Linked DNA regions of Saccharomyces cerevisiae S288C. Changing the gene in region 1 together with any one later gene gives a genetic interaction. Each region holds a gene or a part of one and is shown on either strand. Other genes may lie near its edges.

Evidence for each region.
Region 2: mutations in GDS1 (region 1) and AXL1 together harm fitness more than expected from each alone (negative genetic interaction), as found in Saccharomyces cerevisiae (2 studies listed by BioGRID).

What each region holds. Positions count from the first base shown.
Region 1 is NC_001147.6:996,554-1,013,627, reverse strand, and holds GDS1 (Gds1p), read right to left. Parts: upstream 8,492-17,074; coding exon 6,923-8,491; downstream 1-6,922. Other genes in the region: 3',5'-cyclic-nucleotide phosphodiesterase PDE2, read left to right, coding at 1-387; VTS1 (Vts1p), read right to left, coding at 868-2,439; HAP5 (Hap5p), read right to left, coding at 2,739-3,467; SNX3 (Snx3p), read left to right, coding at 3,916-4,404; CIR2 (electron-transferring-flavoprotein dehydrogenase), read right to left, coding at 4,512-6,407; MSC6 (Msc6p), read left to right, coding at 10,403-12,481; SOG2 (Sog2p), read left to right, coding at 12,800-15,175; TFIIH complex subunit TFB6, read right to left, coding at 15,384-16,415. UniProt on the Saccharomyces cerevisiae protein: Involved in nuclear control of mitochondria.
Region 2 is NC_001148.4:780,301-795,239, forward strand, and holds AXL1 (Axl1p), read left to right. Parts: upstream 1-1,744; coding exon 1,745-5,371; downstream 5,372-14,939. Other genes in the region: THI22 (putative phosphomethylpyrimidine kinase), read left to right, coding at 1-1; high-affinity Cu transporter CTR1, read left to right, coding at 5,908-7,128; YLH47 (Ylh47p), read left to right, coding at 7,661-9,025; YPR127W (pyridoxine 4-dehydrogenase), read left to right, coding at 9,783-10,820; ANT1 (Ant1p), read right to left, coding at 10,918-11,904; SCD6 (Scd6p), read left to right, coding at 12,387-13,436; peptide alpha-N-acetyltransferase complex B subunit NAT3, read right to left, coding at 13,611-14,198; 40S ribosomal protein uS12 RPS23B, read left to right, coding at 14,665-14,729. UniProt on the Saccharomyces cerevisiae protein: Probable protease. Involved in axial budding.

The DNA.
Region 1 (17,074 bases):
GCAGACATCTCTAATGTGACGAGAACCTTGTCAATATCAGCACGTTGGGCATACCTCATTACTCTCGAATTTAATGATTGCGCTCTTTTGGAAACATTTCATAAAGCTCACCGCCCAGAACAAGACTGTTTTGGCGATTCATACAAGAATGTTGATTCTCCGAAAGAAGATTTGGAATCAATTCAAAATATTTTGGTGAACGTAACAGACCCTGATGATATTATCAAAGACCATCCGCATATTCCAAACGGTCAAATATTTTTCATTAATACGTTTGCTGAAGTATTTTTCAACGCATTAAGTCAAAAATTCTCAGGATTAAAATTTTTAAGCGATAATGTCAAAATCAATAAAGAATACTGGATGAAACACAAGAAACCACAATAGCAAGAATATCAAAATTTCTTGTACCATTCATTGTATAAACATATAAATATATACATTTACTACTAGTATATTTCCTTTTGTGAAGTATTTGTGCTAAAATTCATTACCCATTTTATTTTTTTTTCAAATATGCGTTCTTCCTTTAATATTGTATAATAATAACCCAGTTGATTATGGCTATTGTCTGTTTTAAGTGATATATATATATATATATAGATACATACATTAAATTTATTTTTCTTTGATTAAATTAATGTTTTTTAGTATAGTGATACATATTTCCCGAGTTAAAAGTTAAGTAAATAGTTTTATGCCATTAAACGGTGCAAAAACAGGTGTAATCTAAAATATTAAACTCCATAAAAGAAAACGTTAAAATTACAAAATAAATGAAATATGTTCCCTGTGTTGGTATATGCAAAGTAAATAAAAATTAAATCTTTATGCAACGTCAAGACAATCAACTTTATTATGCCAGATTTAATAAGCAGATCTATCAATTAAATCACGTTCTTTGTAATCAATAACGATTCCAAAAGCCTTCAACAATTTTCTCCTTGCACCCAAGGCAAGAACGCCTTTTTTTTCTAAAGTCTCGTCATCTAAGTAAATCAATTCGATCCACGGGGTTCCGCTTAAGGCATCTGAATACTTGTGTAGTCTTAACGATTTTAACCACATGGGTATATTTTTTAGTAGCTTGGGGTCTGTCAAACTCTTTGGATTCATCGAAGAGTTACTCGATAAAGGAGTGTTTCCGTTAGATGATGTAGATGTCGATGTGGCACTTGTAGGACCAGCATTAGGATGCGTAATGGTATTATTGAACACGTTCTGGTTGGACTTATTCAAATCAGTTCCTGATGGTCTTGAAGTATTCGAAAAATATGAGGTGGTATTATGCAGAGGATGATGCAATGAATGATGGTGATGAGAATTGTACTCATTTCCCATGTTAGACCTTTTCTTTGGTTGGAAAAAAGAATGGGAACTTGAGAGAGAGTGAGAAAGATAGTTGGGATTCTCTGATGGCAACTTTTTATATTTGGTACTGTTACCGTTGTTGAATTGTTTCTGGACAGGAATGAGATTTGGGCTTGAATTAACATGAGGCTCAGCCGACTTGGACCTTTGACTAGCGTCGGTGATGTTGTCATATATGGGTTGGCTAATTGGTATTGAATGTGGCTGAGGGGACCAATTTTGATACAACAAGTTATCGGTATTTTCAGGGTCATTAGTTATAGGACTTGAAGAAAAGACTGAATCAATATTCAAAATTTGTGTGTCATCCCTATTAGGTATAGGTGATGCAATTGCAGGTAGCGGTGGGGAGATGAAGGGAGTGTTTGTCAAAGTCTCTATTTTTAACTTAGTATATTTCAAAACATCATCATTCAAAATGGAAAGGATATTGTCCATTACAGTATTTTGTTGGCTGCTGTTCAGCATGGATATCCAAGAACATAATTGGTTGATGTCTTGGCTGAAATTGGTGCCCATGTTCGGATCGTTTTTTTGGGATTGAGACTGTTGTTGCGATTGACGGGATTGCGGCAAAGGAATTGAACCACTCTGCGATGGAATACCCAAAATATTATTTGGAGATCTCTGAAATGAATCCAAATACATAGATGTTGAAGATAAAGTAGATTGCAACGCCTTTGGAGATTGCATCATGGGGGAAACGATAGCAGAACCAGCTGCTGTAGACGAAACTGTTTGAATATTAAGGGAAGGCAACGACGCCTGCTGTTGCTGTTGTTGCTGCTGCTGTTGTTGCTGGAGCGGCTGAGCCCTGGTTCCCGCAGTGTCTAGCATAAAGGATTGCTGATCAAGCATGTCATTGAGTGACATACTATGGGATTGAGGGGACAAAACATTCGCGGTCACGGATGAATTGCCCTGGTTATTGCCAGAATTGCTGCCCGGATTGTTCTTGTTTATGGCAGAAGATTGTGGTGATAGCAAAACGGCGCCTGGATGAGCTCCTCTAGACATGTTATATGGTGACTTGGAACCTGTGGGGAATTCCTCATACGGATGTTTCATGATTTCTTTGCTGACAATTACTTTATATGAACAGTTTTTCTCTTCTGAAAACAATATCTATAGTATATACAGTGATCTAGATTGCCCAAGGGACGAAGTACCAGTGTGACTGCAAAACACAATGTATTCGAGACAATCCTATGGTAGTAGTAGTAGTCGTTGTTAGATATCTCATCGCCAATTTGCTACCAAACTTATTCTGGAAAAAAATAATGAAAAAAATTTGCGTTTTTTCTTTTTCCAACAGATAATTTGCTGTGGTGCACGGTCAAATGGCAGCTGTATAACCATTAACTCTCTCATTGTGGAAGAGGTCTTCTAGGCACAACATCGATGAGAAAGTCAAACATGTCACTCTTTTGCAGGGCCTCTGCGATATCTGCCTTCTGCAAAGTTCGTCTTTTATTCCTTTCTGCCACGCACCAAGCTCTCATAGTCAGTTCTGTAATAAAGATCTCACAGGCTTTGGCGAAAATGATGGGGGCCTCTGCACTAATCATCTTGACATCTTCATCCGTCTTCATGACCTTGCGGATTCTCGCAAATGGTAAGGAATGTGATTTGAAGTCATCTTGATGCTCGGAACCAGGTTCATTCGTAGACTCGATCTCGTTGATTAATTCTTGCCAATAACGGATCATTATCTCCTTGTAGTGGCCCACCAATCCCTGACCAACGTTCCTAAACACATCATACTCTTCATCGTCCTCGTCCATTTCTCCGTCTGCGCCGTCGCTGTTTCCATTATCTTCGCCTTCAAGCGATCCTCGACCACTTGGCGGTAGATTAGCTTGGTCATGGCCCGCCTGGATAGCTTGCAACTCCTGTACCATCCGGAACTCTTCCTCAGAAACAGGTAGCCTCGTATTTTCCCCTTCCCCTTCGTTTTCTTGCAGTTGTTGCTGTTCTGAATATTGCCTTGGCATATTCATTTCCTCTCTCTGAATCATCGTACTGGGTTGCGGTCCCTCCGGGAGCGATTCTTGAGGTCCTTGTCCTTGTTGTGGTGAGAAATTCCTATCAGTCATTATGCGAGTAAACAATCCTGATGCTGCAAATGCGTCACAACTCTTACATTATCTCCTATTCCCCTCTATTCTTCTTCTTTGCTTACGCGGTATTATAGCAGCTAAGGAAGCTTAATCTCCGGAAGCAATCTTAAGGGAGCCGTCCCACGCAAATTTAAGTTTAACTACGGAAAAGGGAGCACAACACTCTTCGATTTTGACATTTCGGGATTTCTACACTCTAGTAAGTATTGCGCTAGGAGGGACCATGATTTACTATGAGGACTTGGCTATGGGGTGCTCAGAATTGCATAAGTGAACTCGAGGATAGCTTTGGGCACTATCACGTACTAAGTGATATGTATTGATATGTAAACCTGCAATGAATGAATGGATTAAAACGGATCTTAATACTGCATAAAAGAGGACGGCAAGAACAGCTGAGAAGCGGTACGCATCTACACAAAGTATGCCAAGAGAATTCAAATCCTTTGGGTCTACAGAAAAGTCTTTGCTGTCAAAAGGACATGGAGAGCCTAGTTACAGCGAAATATACGCTGAGCCTGAGAACTTTTTAGAGATTGAGGTGCACAACCCTAAAACTCATATACCAAATGGGATGGATTCGAAGGGGATGTTTACAGATTACGAAATAATATGCCGTACAAACTTGCCAAGTTTTCACAAGAGGGTATCGAAAGTAAGGAGACGATACTCAGACTTTGAATTCTTCCGCAAATGCTTGATCAAGGAAATTTCTATGCTTAATCACCCAAAAGTCATGGTACCTCATTTACCGGGTAAAATTCTCTTGAGTAATAGATTTAGTAACGAAGTCATTGAAGAGAGGAGACAAGGTTTGAATACCTGGATGCAATCGGTAGCCGGGCACCCGCTTTTACAATCTGGTTCTAAAGTTCTCGTGAGGTTCATTGAAGCTGAAAAGTTTGTCGGCTGAAAAGAACTCTTTTACGTGAATAAATAATATAGATTATATAAAAGAATGAATAGAAAAATTTAAATAAATAATGAATAAAATAATTAAATAAATAATGAATCCTGTGATTAAGTTAGCGTGTACTTTGGTCCATCTCCACCTTCGGGTACTTTCCAAGTAATATCTTGTCTGGGCGCCTTAATATCACAGGTCTTGCAATGGATACAATTTTGTGAATTGATTTGCAGTCTCGTACCCACAGGCGATTTTTCATCTTTGACGAATTCGTAGACACCTGCTGGGCAGAACCTCGATTCAACACCTTTCCAAACGGGAAAGCTTCTCTCGGCGTACTTTACCATATCTTGTCCAGGAACCCTCAAGTGACATGGTTCATCATCATCATGGTAGGTTCCGGTTCTAGACACGGAGGTCAATATATCAAAGGATATCACACCATCAGGCTTGGGGTATTCTATCGGTTTGTACTTGGAAGCAGGTTCCAAAATTTCACCGTCATTTTTTTCATCAAATTTCAGTGTCCACGGAACTTTTCCCTTCAATATCAAAGAATCGATTCCAGAGTAGATCATACCACCATATCCACCAAGTTTCCCGCTGAAGGACGGTCTAATATTACGCACTTCGTATAGTTCCTTATATATCGATGATTCTTTGAATGCACTTTCATATGATTCCAAGTTAATAGTTGCCTCCTTATCAAACATAGCCATTTTGGCGTCTTCGTCTTCAACCTCTTCTAAGACAGGTAACCCTTTTATGGACTCAAAGATACTTTCAGCGGCAAGTAATCCACTCTTCATCGCAGTATGAGTACCCTTGATCTTTGGAACGTTCATGAAACCCGCGCTAGCCCCTACCAAAACACCACCAGGGAAATTCAACTTGGGTACAGATTGCAGTCCACCTTCATTCAATGCTCTTGCAGCATAAGCGATACACTTACCTCCTTCTAAAACTTTTGAATAGTATGGATGATGTTTCATCTTTTGAAACTCTTTGTAAGGTGAAACATAGGGATTCTTATAATCTAACCCCACGACAAGGCCCACAGTGACCAGCCCATCACCAAAATGGTACTGGAAACCACCGCCATAAACATCATTTGTCAACGGGTACCCCATGGTATGAGCTGCAAATCCCTTGTTAAAATTCTCCGGCTTGACTTCCCAAACTTCTTTAATACCTAATCCATAAGTTTGGTGCTGTCTGCCTTTTCTTAAATCATATTTTGCCAAGGCTTGTTTTGTTAAGGAACCATGACAGCCCTCTGCTAATACAGTTTGTCTAGCCCAAAATTCCATCCCACGTTCGAAGGTTTCCTTAGGCTTACCGGACTTCGAAATACCAGCATCTTTAGTAATTACACCCTTAACGGCGTTGTTTTCATCATATATGAGATCCGAGACAGCTATTCCGGGGTAAACTTCAACTCCTACTTCTTCTGCCTTTTCTCCTAAATATCCGACGACTTGGTTCAAAGAGACAATATAATTACGTCCTTTATTGATCATTTGAGATGGTTCTGGAACGCTGATCGCCCATTTCCCCTTTAAAAATTTCAAATGTTCTTTAGTTACCAACGTAGCTAACTCCTTTGGTAACGGAATGCCAATGTCAGACTTTTCATCAGGGAATAGTTCTTTCCACACTCCCGGTTCCAATATAGCGCCGGAAACAGTTTGTCCACCCAATACACTGGATTTTTCAAGAACAACGACACGCAATTGGCCTGTTCCTGACGAATTGTCTAACTGTTTTAATTTGATTGCTGTTGCTAATCCCGCAGGCCCTCCTCCAACTATACAAACATCCACATAGTCGCGCGCCCTTGGTTCATTTAACAACTCTTTCTCTTCTTCAGTAAGATTTGCTTTGTTCAAAAACCTACACGACAAGCTAAACTTTCTCGTCATATCTGTCCCTAGAGCCAAATGACGAGATTTTGCGGAAATCGTCATTCGGATCCCTCTAATTAAGTTCTCGTTAGTGAACTTAATCATTTTCCCTTTCCCAGAGTGGATTTTCCTGTCTAGCTTAAGTTTGTTCTTTTATGTGGCCTGAAGTAACAGTAAGTATATAACGTATTGAATAAATTAATTAAGTGGGGACCACTACTACTCAGTCCGCTTGAAAAAGTTGAATTTTTCAGTTAACCTTTTCTTTTCTACAGTCATGGCAAATCGCGATCCATTGGTAACAAAAAATAAAGCTTCCCGCAAATTTCGGATAAACTAACTGTGGGGTAAATGAAGATCAATCCATATATATCCGGAATAACCGAAAACAGCCAAAAAAAAAAAAATTACTGTCATTAACAGTAAATTAGTCCACCTCTAACGGTTTAGTTGTTTTTCATTTATTTATTTATGGTTGTTTATTTATTTAAATATTGTAGTGAAAGTTAGAACTAGCTAAAAATTGTCCAAATGAGAGGAACACATATTATTAGTTGATAAAAAAAAACAACGACATAGGTGTAGAGCAGCCGTTATGCTCTTGTAAAGGGAGATAAAAATCAATTGAATATATTTTCTAGGTCATCTAATGTGATTGATTCAGGAGATTCAATATCATGTGTCAAAAATCCATTTCTCACAATTTTCATCCAATTCGTAACTTCGTTTCGTGATTCTTGGGAACTTGGGTTTGATTCTCTTCCGTTATCCTGACTGGAATTGATGTCGGATAAAGATTCAGCAGAAGAAGCAGCTGCACTATTAACTGGTGAACTACTACTACTGTTATATTGAGAGCTCTCTGAAGAGCTCTCAATTGGAGTCTGTGTAGAGATTACTTTATGGATAGCAGCCAGTTCAGAAGAGCTACGTGAATTTTTCTTAAACCCATTTTTCGGCAAAAGCTTAGAAAGCCTTGGTGCAGCGGCAGCGGCAGTAACATAAGTATTTGACGATGCATTATGCGACAGAGAAGAATCTGGCGAAATATTCTTGGAGCTTGCAAATGTAGAAAGAGATGCAGAGGAACCCTTTTTGGGGGTGGATAAAACTGATAAAGATTGGGATTTTGTTTGTTTGCCAGGTTTAGTAGTTTTGGTTTTCTTTGGCTCGGTCATTGACTCGTTAGTATCTTCATCCATGTAATTTCTTTTTTTATTATTGTTTTTACTCTTCGATGCCGAATTAGGTGTCAGTAATTGTTGCTGATTATTACTCATCGATGGGGAAAGATTTAGTGACACTGGAGAAGTGGAATAAGGTATGTTGAATTCTGGACTTAATGAAAAGGCCAGATTCCCTACATTCAAATTTTTTGAGAAGGAACTGTTAGAAGACATATTTTTCATGTCCGTCATAGAACTTGAATAACTGTCATTGTTAACTAGCTGGTTACTGCTGGACTCCCTTTTTTTCTTGCCATTTGAATTAAAGTCGCTTGTATCACCGGAGGTCTCCAATTGTTGTTTAAGTTGCATCGTAACAGCTTGAGCATGCTCCTTGTAATCGGGAGATAATATGCCTCTGTATATATAGAGCATCCTTCTAGGAGATGAATTAGACCATTCCCTTGATAAAGCATAAGTTAACGTTTTCTCACCTTTTTCAATTTTTTTAACATAAGCGTTCAGTTTTGCGGAAATTAAATTTGACAACTTGGTTGATAAATTGGACATATCTGGATGTTTTTGCAAAAGCAAGTCACACAGTTGTTTGACGGTCATGCCTTGTTGATTCGGATCCATTTCCCATAATATTAAAAAAACTGCGTGAAGAACGTCATCATCCAGAGGGGAGTCTCTATTTTCGGGTTTTGGCCTCTCACCAGTAACAGGTATTAGCTTAGAAATTTCTAATAATGGATTGTCTTTTTTGGGAGCACCAAAGTCCTTCTTAGGTTTGGTAGCTTTTATTTCCTGAGATGAGGAAAACGAAGAACCGGCCAAATTATTATCATCAAGGGCCATGCCTGGCTGGTTGCCGATAAGATCCGTGCCTGGATTCGAAATAGTGTCAGCTCTAGTTGTAAATCCCATTGAATTCAACTGAAATACTGGAGAATTTGAGTTATGAAGAATTTCATTCTCTAAAGTTGGTATTTGCAAAGGTCTGGAATTTGCCAATGCCATTATAAGTTCTTCTAATCAATTTTTTTATATGGTTTTTTGTCTTTTTTCGTATTTTTTTGTCCTTTTCTAAAATACTATAGCAAAGCAAAAAAAAAAGTAAAAAAAATTTGATTTATGAAAAGTTGAAATATCCTGGAAAAATTAGTTAAAACCTCCCAATATTTCTGTAGTTATTGATTGATTGCCCGTTTATTTTCTATTTTGCTGATATTGTTTCTGCTAACGTTTCTTTATATAATCCCGCTTGCTGACACAGAAGTGACTAAAATAGGGTAAAAAGGGAAATTATTACGAAAAGGGCAGTCCAAAGCAAATAAAAAACAATGGAATAGAAAATAAAAAAAATTAAAACTCAAAATAAAATGTATTCCAATGTAAAGGAAAAAATAAAATAATAGGAAAAAAGAAACTATTATTTTAAAGCCTTCAATAATGGAATGCTGAAAAGAAAAGTTATGATTTTGGTAATTTGAGTCAAATAGTCAATCAATGACTTTTTGTTTTTGGTTTTTCAGAAATAGAAATTACCAAGAACCTTAATTGATAAAAAAAAGGGGAGCTTGAAGGGAATACTGATAATACAAACAATATCGTGTAAAAAAAACCTACGTAAAAAATTAAATCAAGCCAAGCGAGAACAGAAAAAAAAAATGAAGTAAAATATTGGACTGGAATATGAAAATTTTAGAAAAAGAACTAGCCGGGATAAAAGTACAAGAAAAGGAGAAGAAGAAAAATTTTTGACTTCTCATCGCATGGGTTTTCAGAAAATTTTCTTATCAAAAATTTCATCGGGCGTATGATTTTCGTTTTTTTCTGCGTCGTTCCTTCACAAAGTATCGAAAACCCCAAACAAAAAAAATATAAAAAAAAAAAAACACCCTTGCACCCATAACATACGGCGAGATGTAAGGTAGGTATAGCAGACTTAGATATTGCGTGCGAATCAGTTTGATTCGCAAGTAAAATCTTCATGCGCATTAGTATAGAGCGTTGGAAGCAGTTAACATAGTATTTCGGTTTTTTTTCCCTTTCATAAAAAGGATTCTTCTTCCATAATCCCTTGCGTGAGTTGAATATGAATGAAACTCGTTGAACTAGTGAACAACAAGTGATTGTATGCTCATATTTAGTACTAACATTTCAGCATTGTATAATCCTTTCTTTACTTTCAGGATAAAGACATACATTCTACGTATGATCAAGAGTAAGGAACAAGAATATTAAAAAAAACGAGATGAACCTTGAGTATATATATATATATTTACACCAATGTGCCCTACGAAAATAGTGAAAAAAAAATTTCAGTTGCAACCGCGTTTTGTCCGTTAGTATCTTTTGTCCGTACACCTCGTACTAAAAAAGAAAACCAGTCCAAAAAGAAAGTCAAACGGTCCAAATCGGAAACACCGACGCTCAGCTTAATAAACATTGTGTAGAGCCAAGCGGAAAAGAATACCATTTAGCCGCCGATGCAGAAAACCGGTATATAGAGCTGAAAACAAAGATTGAACTCTCCAGACAAGTTAGAAGTAAAAGCAAGTAATATATAAGTTTTATAAGTGAATATTCGGTCGAAGGTAGTGTCAAAGTTACATCACCAAAACTACTTACTATTGAGGAAATATCAGGTGTGCCAATACGTTAATTGATCTGTGAATAAAAAACGAAGTTGGAACATTGTATTACCTTTCAAATATGCCATAAAAGGTTGCTCGTCGACTAAGTAATTAATCGATTATAAGAGGGAAAAAGCGGGGTAAGTAAAATGTAATATCATCATATACGATATACATACCGCCTGTGGAATCGTTCAATTGCTACACATGTCTAACTAAGGACGTACTGTCTATATGTTTGCTTAAGTTGGCTCTGCACAAAATAATATCAGAGCCTTCCACTGGGATACAGATGCTTTCCCATAATGCTTTAAGGGCCTTTGATTGTTCAAAGGTGATTATTTCACGAAGATGTCTAACCTCTTCAACATCGATATACCAACAAAGCAGCGTTCACTTACAAGAAACAGATGATGGACATTCAGGAAATAGAGAAAAGCACGTCTCACCGTTTGAAAGGGTACAAAATTTGGCTGCTGATTTGAAGAACGAGTTGAAAGCTCCAGATTCAGATATCAATGAAGTTTTTAATGACTTTAAAGATAAGATTGAATCGTTGAAACAGAAATTAAGGAACCCTTCACCTATGGAAAGATCACACTTGTTAGCGAATTTTTCTTCGGATCTCCTACAGGAATTAAGTTACAGAAGCAAAAATATGACGCTAGATCCTTATCAAGTATTAAACACATTGTGCCAATACAAATTGGCACGCTCACAACATTTCACGATTGTTTTAAAGTACCTTCTATATAATCAATCACCACAGGACGTTATTGCCTTATGGGTGAAGTACTTGGAAACCATTTCCGAAAACCCAGTGATCTTACTTCAAAATAGTTCTTCTCGTGCACATATGCAAAATATTGCAATTACCACCATTGCTTACTTATCTTTACCAGAGAATACTGTGGATATCAATATTCTGTATAAGATTTTACAGATCGATCGTAAAATGGGCCAGGTTTTACCTTTTAACATGATTAGAAGAATGTTAAGTACAGAATTTAGCTCTCTTGAAAGAAGAGACGTGATTATCAAAAATCTAAACACTTTGTACTATCAATACACAGTACAGGATAGTGATCATTTCTTAAGTCAAATTGAAAATGCTCCTAGATGGATAGATTTAAGGGATCTTTATGGCCAATACAATAAACTTGAAGGTGAGAAAAATGTAGAGATCATAAGCAAGTTCATGGACAAGTTTATTGATTTGGATAAACCCGACCAAGTTGTTACTATTTATAACCAGTATAGCAAGGTTTTCCCAAATAGTACGTCGCTGAAAGATTGTCTTTTAAGAGCTGTGTCGCACTTACGAGCTAAATCGAGTAAAGAGAAGTTGGACAGAATTCTAGCAGTCTGGAACAGTGTTATCAAACCAGGAGATAATATTAAAAACACATCTTATGCGACGCTAGTTAACGCACTAACTGATTCTGGAAATTTCAACCATTTAAAGGAATTTTGGGAAGAAGAACTTCCTAAAAAGTTCAAGAAAGATCCCATCGTGAAGGAAGCATTTCTCCTGGCCTTATGTCAAACTTCGCCTCTAAAGTATGACCAAGTCAAAGGGGAGTTAGCAGAGACTGTTAAAACCAAGAAGTTGTTCAATAAAGTTTTATTGCTAATGTTAGATGATGAAAAAGTGAGCGAAGAACAATTCAACACATTTTACTATAACCATTATCCATCAGATGGTGTGTTACCCCCTACTTTGGATACTCTAAGCATTAAAATGTACGCTAATTATAAATTTCAGGCAGAAGATACACGCCCACAATTCGATCTATTGCAAAGTGTTTCCATTAATCCCACCGATTATGAAAAGGTTGAAAAGATTACGAAAGCCTTTATTTCAGTGTGCCCCACTGTCGAGCCGATTCGTCAACTTTACAAACAATTGGGAACTCACTTAAATGCTAGGAATTATGCAGACTTTATTTCCGCAGAGTTTAATAAGCCTGACGGCACAGTGGCCGAGGCAAAGAATTTGTTTTCTGATTTTCTCTCATATCAAAAGACTAGAAAGAGAAACGTGGATAATACGCCTCTAAATGCTTTATTATTGGGGTTCTGTGATAAACTTTACAAGAGTAAACATAGCGAGTACGTTCCCTACATCGAAAAGTACTACAATCTAGCTAAGGATTCAAGTATCAGGGTGTCGAACTTGGCCGTTTCGAAAATTCTATTCAACTTGGCCACATTTGCACGCAATACTCAGCAGTTATCTGACAAAGAGGTTGCTTTTATTAACCAGTTTATGCGAGATTTAGGCACTAATGAGGGTTTTCGTCCCAACCCTAAGGATATTCAAATTTTAAAAGAATGTGATGGAATTACTGTTCCAGAAAAGTTGACTTAATACACTTGTCATAAGAAGACAATAAGAAAAGCTCAGAACCAATTTTCTGCACATATGATGCTGTAACTATATAATGATTTCTTGTATATAACTTCCGTATAATAGTTATTGCTTCCATGCATGATTCTTTCAAAGAACAATACAAAATAAAAATAAAAAAAAAAAAAAAAAATGAAAAAATGAAGCTACAAGTCGGGTAACAAAAAGTATTTCAAGATCTCTAAATATAAGTGGGCAAATAAAGTTAATGCCAAAACTCCATGCTACTTTTCACCTGAACTTATTGGGGGGAGTTAAGTCTATAAGTATCCGTAACGTATGGTAGCGACATCTTCAAAGAGGACGTTGGATCCGAAGGAGGAACATTTGCCTGCTGACAAAACATCCACTAATTCAAGCAACACTATAATATCTGAGTTGGCAACACAAGAGAAATCCAGCTCTAGTGGTACTACACTAAAATTAATAGCTCTTAATATCAAGTCCATATCAGATGAAGATGTGGGATATATCCAAAATGTTGAAAGACTGTCTTTAAGGAAAAATCACTTAACATCCTTACCAGCGAGTTTCAAGAGGTTATCAAGGCTGCAATATCTGGATTTGCATAATAACAATTTTAAAGAAATCCCATATATTTTGACACAATGCCCTCAATTAGAGATCTTGGATCTGTCCTCCAATGAGATTGAAGCATTGCCAGATGAAATATCATCGTTTTGGCAAGATAATATTCGTGTATTATCATTGAAAGACAACAACGTTACTAGCATACGTAATTTGAAATCGATCACAAAATTAAACAAGCTGAGCATCTTGGATTTAGAGGATAATAAAATACCCAAAGAAGAGCTTGACCAAGTACAGAGTTATACTCCATTTCATACGGGCATCCCCAAAGAAGAATATTGGGCAATTGCGATATCACGATATCTAAAAGATCATCCTAACCTACCTACTCCAGAACCTAAAATATCTAGAGCAGCGAAAAGAATGGGATTCATAAATACGAACTTGTCTAATGGAGCAATGAATGAAAACAATATAATTTCACTTGCCCCAAGTGCAAATACAACTATAAGTGCATCTACTGCAATGGTCTCATCTAATCAAACCTCTGCAACATCTTTCAGTGGTACAGTCAATGCAGAATCAGAACAAAGTGGGGCAGTGAATGGTACGGAACTATACAATCACACCAAATATAATGACTACTTCAAGAGGTTGTCGATTTTACCAGAAGAGTCAATGAGTAACGGGCATCAAAAAATATCGCATGCAGAGTTGGTTGTTTCCTGTCGGAAGCTCCTATTTAGTTTTACAGAATGCCAACAAGCTATCAGAAAAATCGCCTCTTTCTGTAAAGAGAAGGCCGTAGCGGTTAATGTAGTATCATTATTATACTCTGTCAGATCACATACTGATAATCTGGTGGAGGTCTTGCAGCAAACAGAGAACGAAGACGAATCGCATGATCAGGCGTTAATCAAGCTGTGCCTCACTATCATCACAAATTTTAAACAAATTATAACATTGTTGAGAAAAAATTTTGAGATTTTTTTCAAAGAAGACGATCTATGCTTCATAAGGATGTTTTATATGACATTAATGTGTGCTTATATGGAAATGTATAATGCATGGTCTTTTATCAAAGAAGATGATCAAGTGTCCGGTTCTGCAAGTAAGGCACCCAAGAAACATTCTTTTTCGAGGCACGAGACATCGTCCAGTAGTATCACAAGCGGTGGAGGACCCGCAGCAAGTACGACCAGTACACATTGTAGCGGAAACATAAAATTACTGCCGAAAACAAGGAGCACAAGAACACCATCTGCATCTGCATTGCTTTCAAATAGTAATATTCTGACGGGTGATACCACTGCTGTTCCTCTTTTATCACCAAATCTAAATGGTGCACACACCCATGGTCCAATTTTGGGACACCAAAATGCAATAAGCAATGGAAGTTCTCAAACGAACATGAATGAAGTAAAAACTACTAGCGATACTATTCCAAGGCAACAGCTGCTTCAGCACAATAAATCCATCAGCGATTCGAAAAAAGAGTCACAGGCGCATGAACCTAAACAGCATCCGGTTATGACTTCTTCAATAATTAACGCATCAAATAGTAATAACGTCTCGAATGTTAATATAACCCCACCACCGATGAATGGTGGTGGTGCCGCGAACAGTAGTGCTAATGTAGTGGAGACAAATATTGACATTCAACTGTATCAAACGTTGTCCACAGTAGTTAAAATGGTGAGCGTTGTATATAACCAGTTAACTTCAGAGATATCCAAGATAGCCATTGCTAGCACCATGGGAAAGCAAATTTTGACGGACTCGCTAGCACCTAAAATTCGTGATTTGACGGAAACATGTCGTCAAGCGATGGATTTATCCAAACAATTGAATGAAAGGTTAAATGTATTAATACCGAACGATTCAAATTCAGAGAAGTATCTGACATCTTTGGAGAAGCTGAAAACGTGGGAGATAATGAATTCGTTCTTAAAAGTAATAATATCAATTCTGGCTAATACTAAAATCGTAATGAGCGACGTGCCTAATTTGAATGAGCTGAGACCTAACCTAGCCAACTTGGCGAAGATTACCAAGGATGTCACTGTGATATTGGACTTGAGTTCATACAAGGCTGTATCAGTAAGCGCCAACTCTCCGGAGTAATATAAAAACTTGCATTGTGAGAAAACGCGAACTTTAGAATACGTAATGGGAGGATCATATACCCCATGGTACTGAAATGTATGCTTTATATATATATATATATATATTTATATATTTATGCATGAAAAATGAGGAGTTCGGAAACAGAAGTTTTAAAAGTTACAGATTTATTGTATAAAAGATACACGCCACTGGTTGAATGTAAATGTTAAAATGAATTGGCATGGTCTAAAAATCCCTCGTAAATCTTGCTTAATTCATAATGGTAACCATGGATACCCTGGGATTCCAAAAATATGGGTAGGCGAACTCTTGTTCGTTCCGCGATACCTTTTAACCTCACAATATCAGTCCCATTCAATCCTGCTATGTTCTTGCTGGCTGAAGACGTTTTAGGGACTTCTTTGCAATTATCATTATCATCAGTTAGAATTACAAATATCCTGTCAAGGATGAAGAAGAGTTTGAATAATTTGGATAAAGTGTCATTAATCTCTGAGTCTTCCATATTTTTGAATGTAAATTTTTCAACGTAATCGATGAGATCGTCCGCAATTTTTATTAAATAGGACCCTTGACCAAAATAACTAGAATATCCGCATGTATCTTTTGGGTTTCGGGAATCTGGGCAATGTCTCTTTTCTTCTGATTGAAGTAAATAGTCTGAGTTTGGAACATGGGCAATAGAATACCAAACGAAGTCAACTAAAGTTTTTAAATCCTGCAGCAGCGGAGTAAGACTGGCATAGCCGTTTTTGATATTCAGGCCCCTGGATTGAACAAATTTTCTTTGAATTTGTAAAAGCTGATCATCAACGTAAGAGATGAATTTGGATTGTTGAGACATTGACAATCTTCTCGGGTGTGACGTTCCATTGTGATCATTTGGCAATAATTCACTCAGCTTTGTGGCAGACGAAAAGGGAGAAGACACGTTTATTCTAGGCTGGAAATCGTCAACATCATCGAGCATAGTTACGTCGTTGATTGTGTTGTTAGTTTCATTGTAAACATCATTGAATTCTGGTGTATGATATCTTCTTTTCTTATTACAATTACGCTGCCATATAACGTTGTCTATGTTAGAATTTACGACATCACCTGAGTCTGCACTAATTTCTACATCTGAGTTTGGATCCAAGTTTAAATCATCAATGTCTTTTTCATCTAGATCATTTAAGTTGTTCAAGTCCAGTTGCTCATTCGGTTGAGCATGTAATGGTGTGTTTGGCTCAGACATCAAAATACTGTGTTGAAATCTTTTATTTTTATAATATTTCTTTCCTTACCAGGGCTTGGAGTCTCTACAACAGTTAGCTTACTGTTTATTCTGCCACATTTCCACCCTTTTGTGGGGCTTCTATTTCAAGGACCTTCATTATGGAAACAGGGCGAGGTTGTTTGTTCTTCCTGCATGTTGCGCGCAGTGCGTAAGAAAGCGGGACGTAAGCAGTTTAGCCATTCTAAAAGGGGCATTATCAGAATAAGAAGGCCCTATGAGGTATGATTGTAAAGCAAGTGGTGTAAAATTGTGTGCTACCTACCGTATTAGTAGGAACAATTATGCAAGAGGGGTCCTGTGCAAATAAAAAATATATATCTAGAAAAAGAGTAGGTAGGTCCTTCACAATATTGACTGATAGCGATCTCCTCACTATTTTTCACTTATATGCAGTATATTTGTCTGCTTATCTTTCATTAAGTGGAATCATTTGTAGTTTATTCCTACTTTATGGGTATTTTCCAATCATAAAGCATACCGTGGTAATTTAGCCGGGGAAAAGAAGAATGATGGCGGCTAAATTTCGGCGGCTATTTCATTCATTCAAGTATAAAAGGGAGAGGTTTGACTAATTTTTTACTTGAGCTCCTTCTGGAGTGCTCTTGTACGTTTCAAAT
Region 2 (14,939 bases), on another chromosome or scaffold:
ATAGTTACAATATTTTTAACAGAATATATAAAATACATATACAGAAATGATAAACTATAAACGCAAAAGATTAGCGATACGAAAAAAGGATTTCTCGCTATTATATCAATTTATAAAGAGATCCTTTGGAAATATAAATTATGTTCATTTCATTTTTTCAACTTCTAGAAGGATGACTAACTATTGTTTCCATTTGCTAGCATGGTAAATTAATACATTTTTGAATTTGCTGCTAGGGTACAATACCATGCAATGTTTATAATATAAATCAAAGTGACAGAGATTCCTAAAAGCTAAAACAAATCCATTGATAATATAATAGTAGGTTGGTCAATTCACCGCAGATTCAATGTAAGTATTGATACTCCATAAATGTTAACTTCAGGTTGATATTCGTTACAAAAATCTTAGTTTGCTTTTCATTACTATCTGAACGGAATGCTCAACATTTTTCTTATTCTACAATTGTACAATGTCACGTAAACAGTTTGATTTGTGTATTTACAGTGGAAACATTTTACTTGTTGGCAATAGTACATGCGCAGATAATCAAAAACCATTGTTTCCGACATTATTTCTGACAATTGCTTGAATTTGCTGAACACTTTTCGAGGTACATTCTGATAAAGAGTGCATTATTAGTTATTTAGAGTATATTAAGACATCTTCTCGAAGATATATAAATTCGTAAAGGAAACAAAAATTTCGGGATAACAAAAAAGTTTCTTCTTTTTACGTATTAAATGGTCTATTCATCGATCCTATTTCACTATCAATCCTATTATATTATCAACTTTTGCATTTCTGCTTCCACCAAAGTCGACGGCTGTTTCTCATCGTTTATGTAATATCATAACGCATGTATGACATTATATCAGTGGCATGAGCGCTAGTCCATGAAATAGGAGTTTAACTCCAACATACGGAACATTCGCATTATCGCACACGTAAGACTCGATATATTAAGGAAGGAATTTCCGAGTTGGATTAATAAAGGAAAAATAAAATATAGTGTTGGAAATATAGTTGCCTCAGAATAATATCAATATAATATTAAAACGTATATAGTTAGATACCCGGTATTATTCGAGTACGCATTAATTCAGCAGTATGACTTTCTGTGCCTGCTTATATATTGTAACCGTATGTTGTTCTACCTTAAAAATTTGCTAAATTGAAGGAATTGACTATCGTCACTGAAGAGTATTCGTATTATGGTATTATGATACATTGTCTAAAAAAAGGATACCATTTTTCTTCAATAGAACAAGAAGAGAATCTAAGGACACCATTTCGAGAAATAGTTTACACAGTATATCCAATAACTCCAATAAACTACTTTCCTATACAAATTTCCGATGGTTGGATTAATAGTAAAACTTCTATACTTCTTTCATCCATCAAGAAATTAAGGTAAACATCTGGTAAGCACTATCCAACTTTTTTCTGTTACACATATGGTTTTTCTGCAATCATTTCTTCCCACTTTGCATGAGTAAGTGTCCCATTTTGTCTCAAGCCGTTAATCTTGAAACCGCAGGCGGAGTTACTTGATGCGGTATTTTACATGCCTTTTTTCACTGCAAGAAAAAAATGAAACACTTATTTACACGATTTTCAGGATAGTTTACGCTGGTGAGTATGCAGAACAGTTAACACCTTTGTTTTATCCTTTTGTGTCTTGATTATATAATATAAATGTGCCTGGCGTTAAAAAATAGCAACTGAATAAGTTTTTTTACTGATGTCCTTGAGAGAAGTAACTAATTATGAAGTCTCGTTTTACATCCCGTTGTCTTACAGCAACAGGACTCATAAAGTTTGTAAACTGCCAAACGGAATTTTAGCATTAATAATATCGGATCCAACAGATACTTCAAGCTCATGCTCACTGACTGTTTGCACAGGTTCCCATAACGATCCAAAGGATATTGCCGGTTTGGCGCACCTTTGTGAGCACATGATTCTTTCTGCCGGTTCCAAAAAATACCCTGATCCTGGTTTATTCCACACACTAATCGCAAAAAACAACGGCTCTCAAAATGCCTTTACCACAGGGGAGCAAACGACTTTTTATTTTGAATTGCCCAATACTCAAAATAACGGCGAATTTACATTTGAATCTATCTTAGATGTGTTTGCCTCATTCTTCAAAGAACCGCTCTTCAACCCTTTACTGATAAGCAAGGAGATATATGCAATACAAAGTGAGCATGAGGGAAACATATCATCAACCACAAAAATATTCTACCACGCAGCAAGAATATTGGCCAATCCCGACCATCCTTTCAGTCGCTTTTCCACTGGGAACATACACTCGTTATCTAGCATTCCACAACTGAAAAAAATAAAACTAAAGAGCTCATTAAACACTTACTTCGAAAATAATTTTTTTGGGGAGAATATAACCTTGTGCATAAGGGGACCGCAGTCTGTTAATATTCTTACGAAACTAGCTCTATCAAAATTTGGCGATATAAAACCCAAAAGCGCTGTAAAGGAAAGGAGTATATCGATTAGGACGAGGTCATTTCGAAGATCGAAGTCTTTAAAAAAACGCCAAGATTCTTCCAAAAACGACTACAGTGACTTGAAAACCTTTAAAATACTGAACACAACGTGGGAAAAAAAATACAAAAATACGATGTGTTTTCAACAATTTCCTGAATGCAATTCGATATTTATCAATTCAAATAAGGTACCTATAATGAGACTTCTCTTTCCTGTTAGCGATAAAAACACTCGGTTTACAAAGGATGACATTAAAATATACAGTCATCTTTGGTGTGAACTTTTCGGCGATGAGTCTCCAGGATCTTTGAGCTATTACTTAGCTTCAAAAGGCTGGCTCACAGGCTGTTTTGCCTTTACCTCAGAATTCGCTATTGGTGACATAGGATTAATTTTGGAATTAGAACTGACAAACAGTGGCTGGGAAAATATTAAGAGAATTACGACAATAGTACTTAATAGACTCTTGCCTTCCTTTTACGTAATGAACATCGATTACTTAATCACTTTTTTGAAAGAACAGAATTTGATCGACCTCGTTAGCTTTCTGTACCAAAGTTCAGAGGATCTTCCAATGGAAGAGTGCTCAAAATTAAGCGGTATTCTTCAGGACGATTTAGAATGTTTAACCCCCCCTAATATATTCAAAGGATTTAAATCTCTTATAGAAATAGATGATCCCAACATCGAAAAATATGAAAACACAAAGGCCAATATACAATGGTGGACAGGGCAAGCTATTAAGTTCCAAAATTTTTTAAAATCTTTCATGAATCATGACAACATGCGCCTTTTACTCTTAGGGAATATAAAATCTGGTAATATATTTGATAAAATGAAAAATAAAAGTGATATATGCACCGATTTTTTCTATGAATTTGAGTATTATACGGCAAACGTTCATCTAGCAAGTGATAATAAATTTCATTCAAACAGCTCGTATGAATTTAATTTTCCCACAGGTAATCTTTTTTTACCAGATTGCGTCAGCGATCCTTTAAAACTACAACAGCTCTTCTTAGAATGCTCGTTAAAATCGAAATTTGCTACGCTTAGACCTCAAATTTATAGTGAGCCCACTAGGACAAAGCCTCAATTAGTCAGTGAGAACCAGAATTATGAGATGTGGATCTTAAAAGAAGACCCAAATTTTGCCTCAGACAATAAATCCGTCGTATCATTTGAAGTTTTGGGGTTAGGCATCAAACCTAGTCCGGAGGCAACAATCCACCTGGAAGTACTAGCACAGGCATTATTTATCATCACCTCTTCATTCCTTTATCCCGCTCTGAGAATTGGTTACACATATGAGATTGCCTCATCTAGTAAGGGCAACGTAACACTGCGATTTACTATTTCTGGATTCCCTGAGGGTGTTTTCACAATAGTAAAGACGTTCGTGGATACGCTAAAACTTATTGCAACAGATCCAACGTTTCTTTCTAAAGATACCTTGAGAAAGGCAAGGATTTTAGTTAGAAATAAATACAAGAACGCGTCATCGGACAACTGCGTGAAGCTAGCTAGCGTTGGATTGCTGATTGTTTTAGAGAAATATATATGGACTTTAGAGGATAGAATTAATGCATTAGAGCTTACCGAGTTGGAATCCTTCGAAAAATTTTGTTTTTTATTCTGGAGGAATCCTAAACATTTGGTCTTGTTCATGCAGGGAAGCCTTGAATATGCTGACGCAATCAACCGTTACTTAAATAACAATTTTACGCAGCACCTAAAAATCAGCAATGAAGGGAGCAAACCGACCATACGTCTCTACCCTCCTCCCAGTACAAAAGATCTAGATCAAGGCACAAATGCCTTTATATCATATAATGGTCACCAGGATGATCCCAACAATAGTATTGTGTATTTTATTCAGACTGCACAAAGAGATGACATCAAAAATCTGACACTAACCTTTCTTACCGAATATCTATTTTCACTAACGCTAGTGCCTGATCTAAGAAATAAAAAGCAAATTGGGTACATTGTTTTGGGAGGACTCAGGGTTTTAACAGACACTGTTGGGATTCATATAACCGTAATGTCTGGCAGCTCGGGGCACAATCTGGAAACTAGGATCAATGAGTACTTATCTTACTTGCAGCTGCAGGTGCTAAATAGATTCACCGAGTTTGATTTTCGAAGGATACTTCTAGAGCCGTTCTTAAATCTTTTAAAACAGAACAGTACGAAACAGTTTGAAGGGTCGGCTGGTCCTGTAGACCTATTAAATGAGATAGTGGCAAATGTGCAAAATGGTGATAATTACACTCTCAACAATAAACAAATGAGACAACATAGGAAGGTAAGAAATAAAATTGCGGAAGGAAGGCTTAATTTTCAAGAAGATCATGAAATGATTGATATCTCATTTTTGCAAAAATTAACTCTAAAGAAATATTTAGCATTCTTCGAGTCCAAAATCTCTATATATTCCGCTCAAAGAAGTAAGCTATCAATAATGATCACAAGTCCAATGGCAGAGAAGGAAATTGCAAGCAGGAAAATGTTCCTTCAGCTAGAGGCCTTTCTGAAAATAAACGGATTCGCCATAAAAAATGAAGACTTGAAGAAAATTGTCGAACATTCAAAGGGAAATCCTATTTTACTTGTAAAGAACCTTTTTACTTATTTTCGTAGGAGAAATGAAGTTTTCAAGCTCGGAACCGTTGTATTGCAGGAAATATTGAAAATCATCGGAATGAATCTTAAGCAGAGATACGGCTCTATATTAGGGTTTTCTTCCCAAGATGGTGAAGGACAAGAAATAGAAAAATTTTGGAACAACGACACAAGTCCGATTGTTCCTCTTCAGGAGCTTCCTGAACCAAACTTTTTCCGCAAGGCCGCATTTTGAACCGTATTTTGCTCGTTCCAGCCTTTCCACGTTTTTGTTATCTAAGCAACTTGGCACATTTCCCTACTATACTACAAACCGATACGTAAATACTTCCCTAAATAGCATATGAATTATTCAGTAATTTTTAAGGATCGAAACTGCACCTCAACTATTCGTTACTGTGGTTATGTTCTCATGTATTGATGCAAATCATGGGATATTTGCTCAAGACGACGGTAAAATGAGCAAAAATGGCACGATCCTGAAAAGAGCACTTTTCAAGATTCGGGCTACAAAATGCAACATAAAAAATGTTGTATTGTCATCTCGAGAGGGTCTTGTATGTTTTATTCCTCTTATGATTAGTTCACATTAGTAAAACAGATACGCAGTGTGCTCTTAATAAACAACTACTCCATAGCTTTATTTGCATAACAAAACTTTTAAGCACAAACTTAAACAGGTGGAGTAATAGTTCGGCGGCGACTCAAATTACATTTGTTGGAAGAATCGAATAGAAAATAAAAAAAAGTGTATTATATTTGACATTCAAAATGGAAGGTATGAATATGGGTAGCAGCATGAATATGGACGCCATGTCTAGTGCATCCAAGACAGTAGCATCGAGTATGGCGTCGATGAGCATGGATGCGATGTCTAGTGCCAGCAAAACGATATTATCGAGCATGTCATCGATGAGCATGGAAGCGATGTCCAGTGCGAGCAAAACGTTGGCGTCGACTATGTCGTCAATGGCAAGTATGTCGATGGGAAGCAGTTCAATGTCAGGTATGTCTATGTCGATGAGCAGTACACCAACAAGCTCCGCCAGTGCACAGACAACTTCTGATTCTAGCATGTCAGGCATGTCAGGTATGTCATCGTCTGATAACAGTAGCTCTTCAGGGATGGATATGGACATGAGTATGGGAATGAACTATTATCTGACTCCCACATATAAAAACTATCCAGTTTTGTTTCACCATTTGCATGCAAACAATAGTGGTAAGGCTTTCGGTATTTTCTTATTATTTGTTGTGGCTGCTTTCGTCTACAAACTACTGCTTTTCGTTAGTTGGTGCCTTGAAGTTCACTGGTTTAAAAAATGGGACAAGCAAAATAAATATTCCACTTTACCTTCAGCAAACTCCAAAGACGAAGGAAAACATTATGACACAGAGAATAATTTTGAAATTCAAGGTTTACCTAAGCTGCCAAATTTATTAAGCGATATATTTGTTCCATCTTTAATGGATCTCTTTCATGACATTATAAGGGCGTTCTTAGTATTTACCTCTACGATGATTATTTATATGTTGATGCTTGCTACCATGTCTTTTGTTTTAACATACGTTTTTGCTGTAATTACTGGGTTAGCTTTATCGGAAGTCTTCTTCAATAGATGCAAAATAGCCATGCTAAAGAGGTGGGACATCCAAAGAGAAATTCAGAAAGCGAAGAGCTGTCCTGGCTTCGGTAACTGCCAATGTGGTAGACATCCCGAACCCAGCCCTGATCCAATTGCTGTTGCCGATACCACTTCCGGAAGTGATCAAAGTACTCGCCTGGAAAAGAACAACGAATCTAAAGTTGCGATTTCCGAAAATAATCAAAAGAAAACACCTACACAAGAAGAGGGATGTAATTGTGCCACAGACTCAGGAAAGAATCAAGCAAACATAGAGCGCGACATCCTTGAGAATTCCAAGTTGCAGGAACAGTCCGGGAATATGGATCAAAACTTACTTCCGGCCGAAAAATTCACTCATAACTAATAACTAGACAAGGTTCGTCCACCTATATCTTCTTCTTCCAATATCTCTATACATCAAAATAAGAATATCGTTCATTTCTCAGAAGCTCAAAAAAAATCTCAAAATGGATACTTCTAATGCCCTCATGAAGAGGAAAGAAAATAATAGACACAGCGACCTTCCTATAAATAACAGACTTGTATATAGTTGAATGTCTAAGTAATTTTAATTCAAAAATCCTTAACTATATTACCACCTTGCAATAATAAGAGTGAAGTGTTAAAAATGATACTTGCTTGCCTTCATCGAGTTACCGTTGTCTCCCACGTTTCTTTTTTCTCGTTGGACAGAATTGCTTCCGCGCGAACATTTTCCACTTTTATTTGAAAGAGGACATTATTCAGATCGTGTCAGTCTCATCTAATTGGCAAAGTGGCAATTTTCGAAATAACAAGATAACTGCATAAAGTAACACTTGTCGAATTGAAAGTATTTTGCCAGTGATATTTAGGTTCGAGTAAAGAAAATTTCATAAAGAAATCAACAAGACACAATGCTGAAATACAGGTCTTTGCCAATCAAGAGAGCAATCCATCATCCGGCACCAGGAATTACTCCAATTTCTCCCCGTATTATGGTAAGCAGGTTGAGAGTAATACCATCTTTTAATTTGAAGTTCAATCGTTGGAACTCTTCGGTGCCAGAAAGCTCGAAAAAGGAGTTAAAAACGACAGACGGAAACCAAGAAAGTGCGAGTAAGGTCTCTCCAGTAAAAGAGAAGGAAAAAGTACCCTTTAAGGTTAAGATGCAAAAAGCCCTTCGTCATTATTGGGATGGTTCCAAACTTTTGGGGTTGGAGATAAAAATTTCTTCCAAATTGCTCATGAAGAGTGCTGCAGGCTACCCATTGACGAGAAGAGAAAATTTACAACTGAAAAGAACTACTCAAGATATCGTTCGGTTGGTTCCATTTGCTGCTTTCCTCATTATACCCTTTGCTGAACTTCTTCTTCCATTTGCATTAAAGTTATTCCCCAATTTACTTCCTTCTACTTATGAATCAAGTAAAAAACGCGAGAATAAACTAGAAAATTTAAGAAACACAAGGAAGTTAATGTCTGAAATCATAAAGAATAACAAGTCCCATTTTAAACCTAATAATATTTCCGAGGAACAAAAAGCTTTGTTTAACAGGTTCTACACACATGTCCGTGCTACAGGAGTGCCGGAGTCTCGTCAACAGCTAATCGAAGTAGCTAGATTATTCACTGATGATACTGTATTGGATAATGTGACAAGACCTTACTTGATTGCATTAGCGAAGTATATGAATTTGCAACCATTCGGCACTGATGTGATGCTACGTTACCGTATCAGATACAAAATGCTTGAATTGAAAAAAGATGATCTATCTATATATTACGAGGATGCAGAACAACTCTCCCTCTCTGAATTGAAAACAGCATGCGCCTCCAGAGGTATTAGAAGTGTAGACGTAGAGCCTAGCGTGTTATATTCGAATCTAAGATTGTGGCTGAACATGAGGCTCAAGGATAAGATCCCATCCACGCTGTTAATCATGGCTACTGCCTATAACTACGGTAATGTGCAATCAAAGGAGTCATTGTACGACGCATTATGTGACGTTTTAATCGGTATCCCTGATGAACTATACCATGAGGTTAAAGTAAACGTCGTTAAGGAAGATGAGGCATCCGCTAAGCAAAAATTGAAACAATTGAGGGAGCAAGAAGAAATTATGAAGGAAGAAGAGCAGCAAGAAGAGAACGCCATTGTGAGCGTCAAGGATGAGTTGAGCTTGGACGACCAAGACAAGAACATAGATGCGGCTGCTCCAGACGTAAAACCGCATGACACCAAGCCTATCGGAGAAGCCGCTGCCATCAAAGAGAAGTAACCCAGTTTTCACCTGGCCCATTAAACCGCACGATACACTCTCCGCTACTCTCGCCAACATTCTTTTTATACATACTTGCACGAAACTGCTTTTTTAGCAATGAAAAGAAAATGTAGTGAACTCTACTATAGATTTTGTACATAAGATAAATAAAATACACTACTATATGAAATTTTTGTTTGTAAAGCTGGTGTTTGCACACATAGATAGTATCAACGTAGGGGATCAACACATGCACGACTACTAGAAGCCTTACCCGTAACTTCTTGCATATCTGCTTTGCCAATATTTTTTTTTAAAGTTATTTCTTAAACTACTCCTCGTGCTGTCCACATTTTTACCCGTTAGTTGTTAGACAAAAAAAAAGCGCAACTATCTCCCTTTTGCGCATCTCCCAAGTCCTTTACCAAATATATTAGAAGAATGACACCCGGCCGAGACGGATGAAGCGGCCGTCTCGGCCGCCTTAGGAAGGGATCTGCGTTTTTGTTCGTTAATGAGGTAATCAAGGGCGTACTTGGTAGAACGGTACTAAGTTAATCATTGCTGCTCTCCCTCAAAATTACTCAAAGAATAGAGTGTCTATTGAACCGTAGAATAGGCATTTATTATATAAGGGGTTGTCAATTTACCAAATTTTTTACTTCATCTCAGGACTCTCTCTTAAAATTATTTTCCTTGCCATTTTCTATGTTATGTAGAATAGAAAAACAGGTACATATTAACTAAAATATACACCAAAAAAAGTAAAAATAAAATGTCTGTCGCCGATTTGAAAAACAACATCCACAAGTTAGATACTGGCTATGGTTTAATGAGTTTGACTTGGAGAGCCGAGCCTATCCCTCAGTCGCAGGCTTTCGAGGCCATGCACAGAGTGGTTGAGTTATCCAGAGAACGTGGGCACAAGGCCTTTTTCAACGTTGGTGAATTCTATGGTCCCGATTTTATTAATTTGTCGTATGTTCACGACTTCTTTGCGAAATACCCAGATTTGAGAAAGGATGTGGTTATCAGTTGTAAAGGTGGTGCAGACAATGCTACCTTAACCCCCAGAGGCAGTCACGATGATGTTGTACAAAGCGTAAAGAATTCAGTTAGTGCTATTGGTGGCTACATCGACATCTTCGAAGTCGCAAGAATCGACACTTCCCTATGCACGAAAGGAGAGGTCTACCCCTACGAATCGTTCGAAGCGCTTGCTGAGATGATCTCCGAAGGCGTTATTGGCGGTATTTCATTAAGTGAAGTTAATGAAGAGCAAATTAGAGCTATTCACAAGGATTGGGGAAAGTTTTTGACCTGCGTTGAAGTGGAACTTTCTTTGTTCAGTAATGACATTTTACACAACGGAATTGCTAAAACATGTGCTGAATTGGGGTTGTCCATCATCTGCTACTCCCCACTGGGCAGAGGATTGTTGACAGGTCAATTGAAGTCAAACGCTGATATCCCTGAGGGTGACTTTAGAAAGTCGTTAAAGAGATTTAGCGACGAGTCTTTGAAAAAAAACCTGACCTTGGTCAGGTTTCTACAGGAAGAAATAGTCGACAAGCGCCCACAAAACAACTCCATTACTCTTGCACAACTGGCTTTGGGATGGGTTAAGCACTGGAACAAAGTTCCGGAATACAGTGGCGCCAAATTTATCCCAATTCCAAGTGGCTCTTCTATTTCCAAGGTTAATGAAAACTTTGATGAACAGAAAACCAAACTTACCGATCAAGAGTTCAATGCCATTAACAAATATTTGACTACTTTCCATACTGTTGGTGACAGATACGAAATGGCGTAAGGTTAAAAAAGTGAATCTCCATTGTTTATATAAATTTTAAATTTGATATGTAAAGATTCTAAACGCAATGTGCTTATTTCAGTAATAGTAAGGATTCTCAAGTGGAAGCCAGCTTGCGTTGTCCGTTGTGCTTTAGGAAAAAAGAAGAGTACAAGAATATTAGCCTCTTTAAAGATTTTGTCAATTCTCCTCTGAAAGCAAACAACAGACCTTGCACAATGACACCCTTTGTCAATTGAGGAAGAACTCCCTTCCAAAGAGATTTTAACCCTTCATTTTTGTACAAGTATAGTAGCGCTTCTTGGAAAGTAGTGAATTTAGAGCCAGCGCTTTGAAGCATTGCTTTAGCGACAATCAAGGGTTGCGTAACTAGAGTCGAAATCATCTTGGAAAGGACACCCAAAATGAAATTTTGCACTGCTGACAAACTGCCAGCATCGTTGGAATGGTCATGGAAAAAAACTTCTTTAAGTCTTTGAAAAGAGGCATATGTGATGGAAGGATTTATCGTCAATGCTAAACCTGTTCTTAAACCTTTCCAAAAAGCAGTTATGTCCCCATTATTTTCACGGTAAATGTCCTTAATAACGTTGGTAAATTTGGCAGACTCTGCAGAATGGACTGTTTGTTGTCTTGTAGCTACCACAGCCATGGGACTAGTAAAAAGTTGCGATATACTGGCAGCTGCTACCCCAAGTACCAATTCTTCAATCGTAGAAGGTGTGATAGGACCATCGCGGTTTTTCAGTGATTGCAGTCCTAACAGCTTATGTTTCATGTAGGACTTTCTGATAAATGTGTACCAAAAGAAATAAACAAAATTCTGGACAAATGTGGCCACCGTAGTGACTGTCATACCTTGATACAGACCCAAAATACCCTTTTCTTTGAATATGTTTATCATGCAATCTACAACATTCTTATATCTCCTATTGGGCAAAACTTTACCTTCGTTACTATCCTCACTTGAAGAAGGAGATACTTGTGACTGAATGATCGTCTTCGATAAATCCAGCGGATAAACTGCAATATTGGCCATTGCCGAAGCCACAGCGCCAGTTAATGCAGACTCTAGAGTTAACATTGATGATATGCTCGTAACAATCTTGGCCTAGCTTCCAGGGTGTCTGTACTTTTACGCAGCATCATATTTTCTCTATTTTTTGCACATCTTCTTGCTCTTCTTATATTTACCAATTATCTGAAATAGTCACTCGGACCGAGATGCAAAAATCGGATTTAAAACTCGATCCGAGGAGAACACCAAATGACACAACTTCTATCAATGCAATTGCCCTCTAAGTATCATAGATGCCGCTATTTTAAATGACAGTGCAATCGATTTCCATATTAAATGGATAAAGGTGTTTATTATGAAGATACCCATTACTGACGTATATGTAATGATTCCTCAGTCCAGTACCATAGTCCCGTCACCTTACACGGTGGAAAAATTAAACTGTACCCGCGATTGTAAAGAATAACGTGGAGGCAGTCAGAAAGAACAATAAACGAATAGTGAGGATGTCGTAGAAGAAGCATTCATCGAAAAACAGCAGCAAGGCAATGTCGCAGTACATCGGTAAAACTATTTCTTTAATCTCTGTGACTGACAACAGATATGTGGGGCTGTTAGAAGATATTGACTCTGAAAAGGGTACCGTGACTTTGAAAGAAGTTCGCTGTTTTGGTACAGAAGGTCGCAAGAACTGGGGTCCTGAAGAAATTTATCCGAATCCTACGGTATACAATTCTGTAAAGTTCAACGGCAGTGAAGTCAAGGATTTAAGCATTTTAGATGCTAACATCAATGACATACAGCCGGTTGTTCCTCAAATGATGCCACCCGCTTCACAATTCCCTCCTCAACAAGCTCAATCTCCACCCCAGGCTCAAGCTCAAGCACACGTGCAAACAAACCCCCAAGTTCCAAAGCCCGAATCCAATGTGCCAGCAGCTGTCGCTGGATATGGTGTTTACACCCCAACTTCGACAGAAACCGCTACTGCTAGTATGAATGATAAGAGCACTCCTCAAGACACCAATGTAAACTCGCAAAGTAGGGAAAGAGGTAAAAATGGTGAAAATGAGCCAAAATATCAAAGAAACAAGAATAGATCAAGTAATCGCCCTCCTCAATCCAACCGCAATTTCAAAGTCGATATTCCGAATGAAGATTTTGACTTTCAATCAAATAATGCAAAATTCACGAAAGGTGATTCCACTGATGTGGAAAAAGAAAAAGAATTAGAATCAGCTGTTCACAAGCAGGATGAATCTGATGAGCAGTTTTATAATAAAAAATCGTCTTTTTTCGACACCATCTCCACTTCTACTGAAACTAATACCAATATGAGATGGCAAGAAGAAAAAATGTTGAACGTTGACACCTTTGGACAAGCTTCTGCCAGACCAAGATTTCACTCTAGAGGCCTCGGTCGTGGGCGTGGAAATTATAGGGGAAACAGAGGAAACAGAGGAAGAGGCGGCCAACGTGGAAACTACCAAAACAGAAATAACTACCAAAATGATAGTGGCGCCTATCAGAACCAAAACGACTCGTACAGCAGACCAGCCAACCAGTTTTCGCAACCTCCTTCCAACGTTGAATTTTAAAATGATGTTTCTATGTAAATTAAGTATATCATTCAGTATGTACATACAAAAATCAAATTAATAGTATTATAGTCCGCGCCTCTGGATAGTATTATTTTAGTGCGTATCGCAAAATATGAATAGCACAGAGGTTCATTATTATGTTCTGAGTATGAGGACGAGGTAATACATACCTTAAAATCTTACATCATGTGGATAGCATTTATGGCTTCTTCCATCCGGCCGTACGCTTCTGTTCCTGTCCCTAGCCATAGCTTTTCTCATATCAAAAGCATCTTTATTGTCATCTACTTTTTTCAGGGTATCTGGATACCCATCTTCAGCTGAGTTATAATATCCCACCACTCTCCTGTAGACACTGTATCCCAATTTTTCGTAAAGTTTGATGGCCAATTGGTTATTGCACTTGACGAAAAGATCGATAAAGTTGACTTCATGGGGCATGACATCGGTCATGGTCTCCAAAGTATTACATAACTTCGAAGCTAGCGATATTCGGCGGAATCTTGGAGCTACTGTCACTGCAGTTATATGAGTGTGCCACTCCGTGGTCTTGCCTTCTGTTTTTGCCATCATGTAACCAGAGATATTATGCTTAAATGTAGGATCAACAGTCATTTCTGAACTTTTGAAAAAAAGGTCTGGCCATATTATCATGTATTCAAAATAAAACTCTAAAGGGAAGTTTTCTGTTAAGATATCAAGGTTGACATTGTTAGTTTTGAATAAATCGACAGGTTCAAAAGGCTGAATTGTTGTCATTTCTCGAATCCTCCTGTCTCTTTCCTTGAATATTCTCAATGTTCCACTATCTTTCACATAAGCAATATTGTGAACTATATATACTTCATTAGATATTGCTTCAACATTAATATTAATAAAAAGGACATGCATAAAGTAACATCCGAACATCTCCAAACACCCATACATATTTATATTATCGACGAGGGAATTTTTTTCTTCCCAGGCCCACCAACGTGCGCCCACCGCTATGTTTTTTGCGCCTAGGTAGGTGGGCTAGCTTCTATGTATCAAAGCTCCTTCTGCGCAGCCGAGGTTTTGCTAAGCACTACCGCATTGGAATGACTGTGTTTGTAGGAGCTCCTTGTCTCCACGCTTTCGCAATTTTCAAGATCGAGATACTATTAGTGATGGTAAGGTTATGAAGCTTACATGTTTAATATTGTAGATTCCAGAAGCAGGTAAGAACAACAAACTACAAGAAAAGATGGGTAAAGGTAAGCCAAGAGGTTTGAACTCCGCTAGAAAGTTGCGTGTCCACAGAAGAAACAAGTATGTACAATTATAGAAGATTGCACTATGGTTGAAAGATTTTCATAATAAGTAGAAGAAAGGATCGGCCATTGCTACCATGAAATGAGTTGGAAGCTTGAAAAAGTAAGGGAGAATAATTTTGCAAGAAACTAGGGTAGGGCTACTTAATTTATTATAGCCATTTGAATTCATCAGCTTTTAGGAGGAGAAAGGCCATTTTGCGAATTT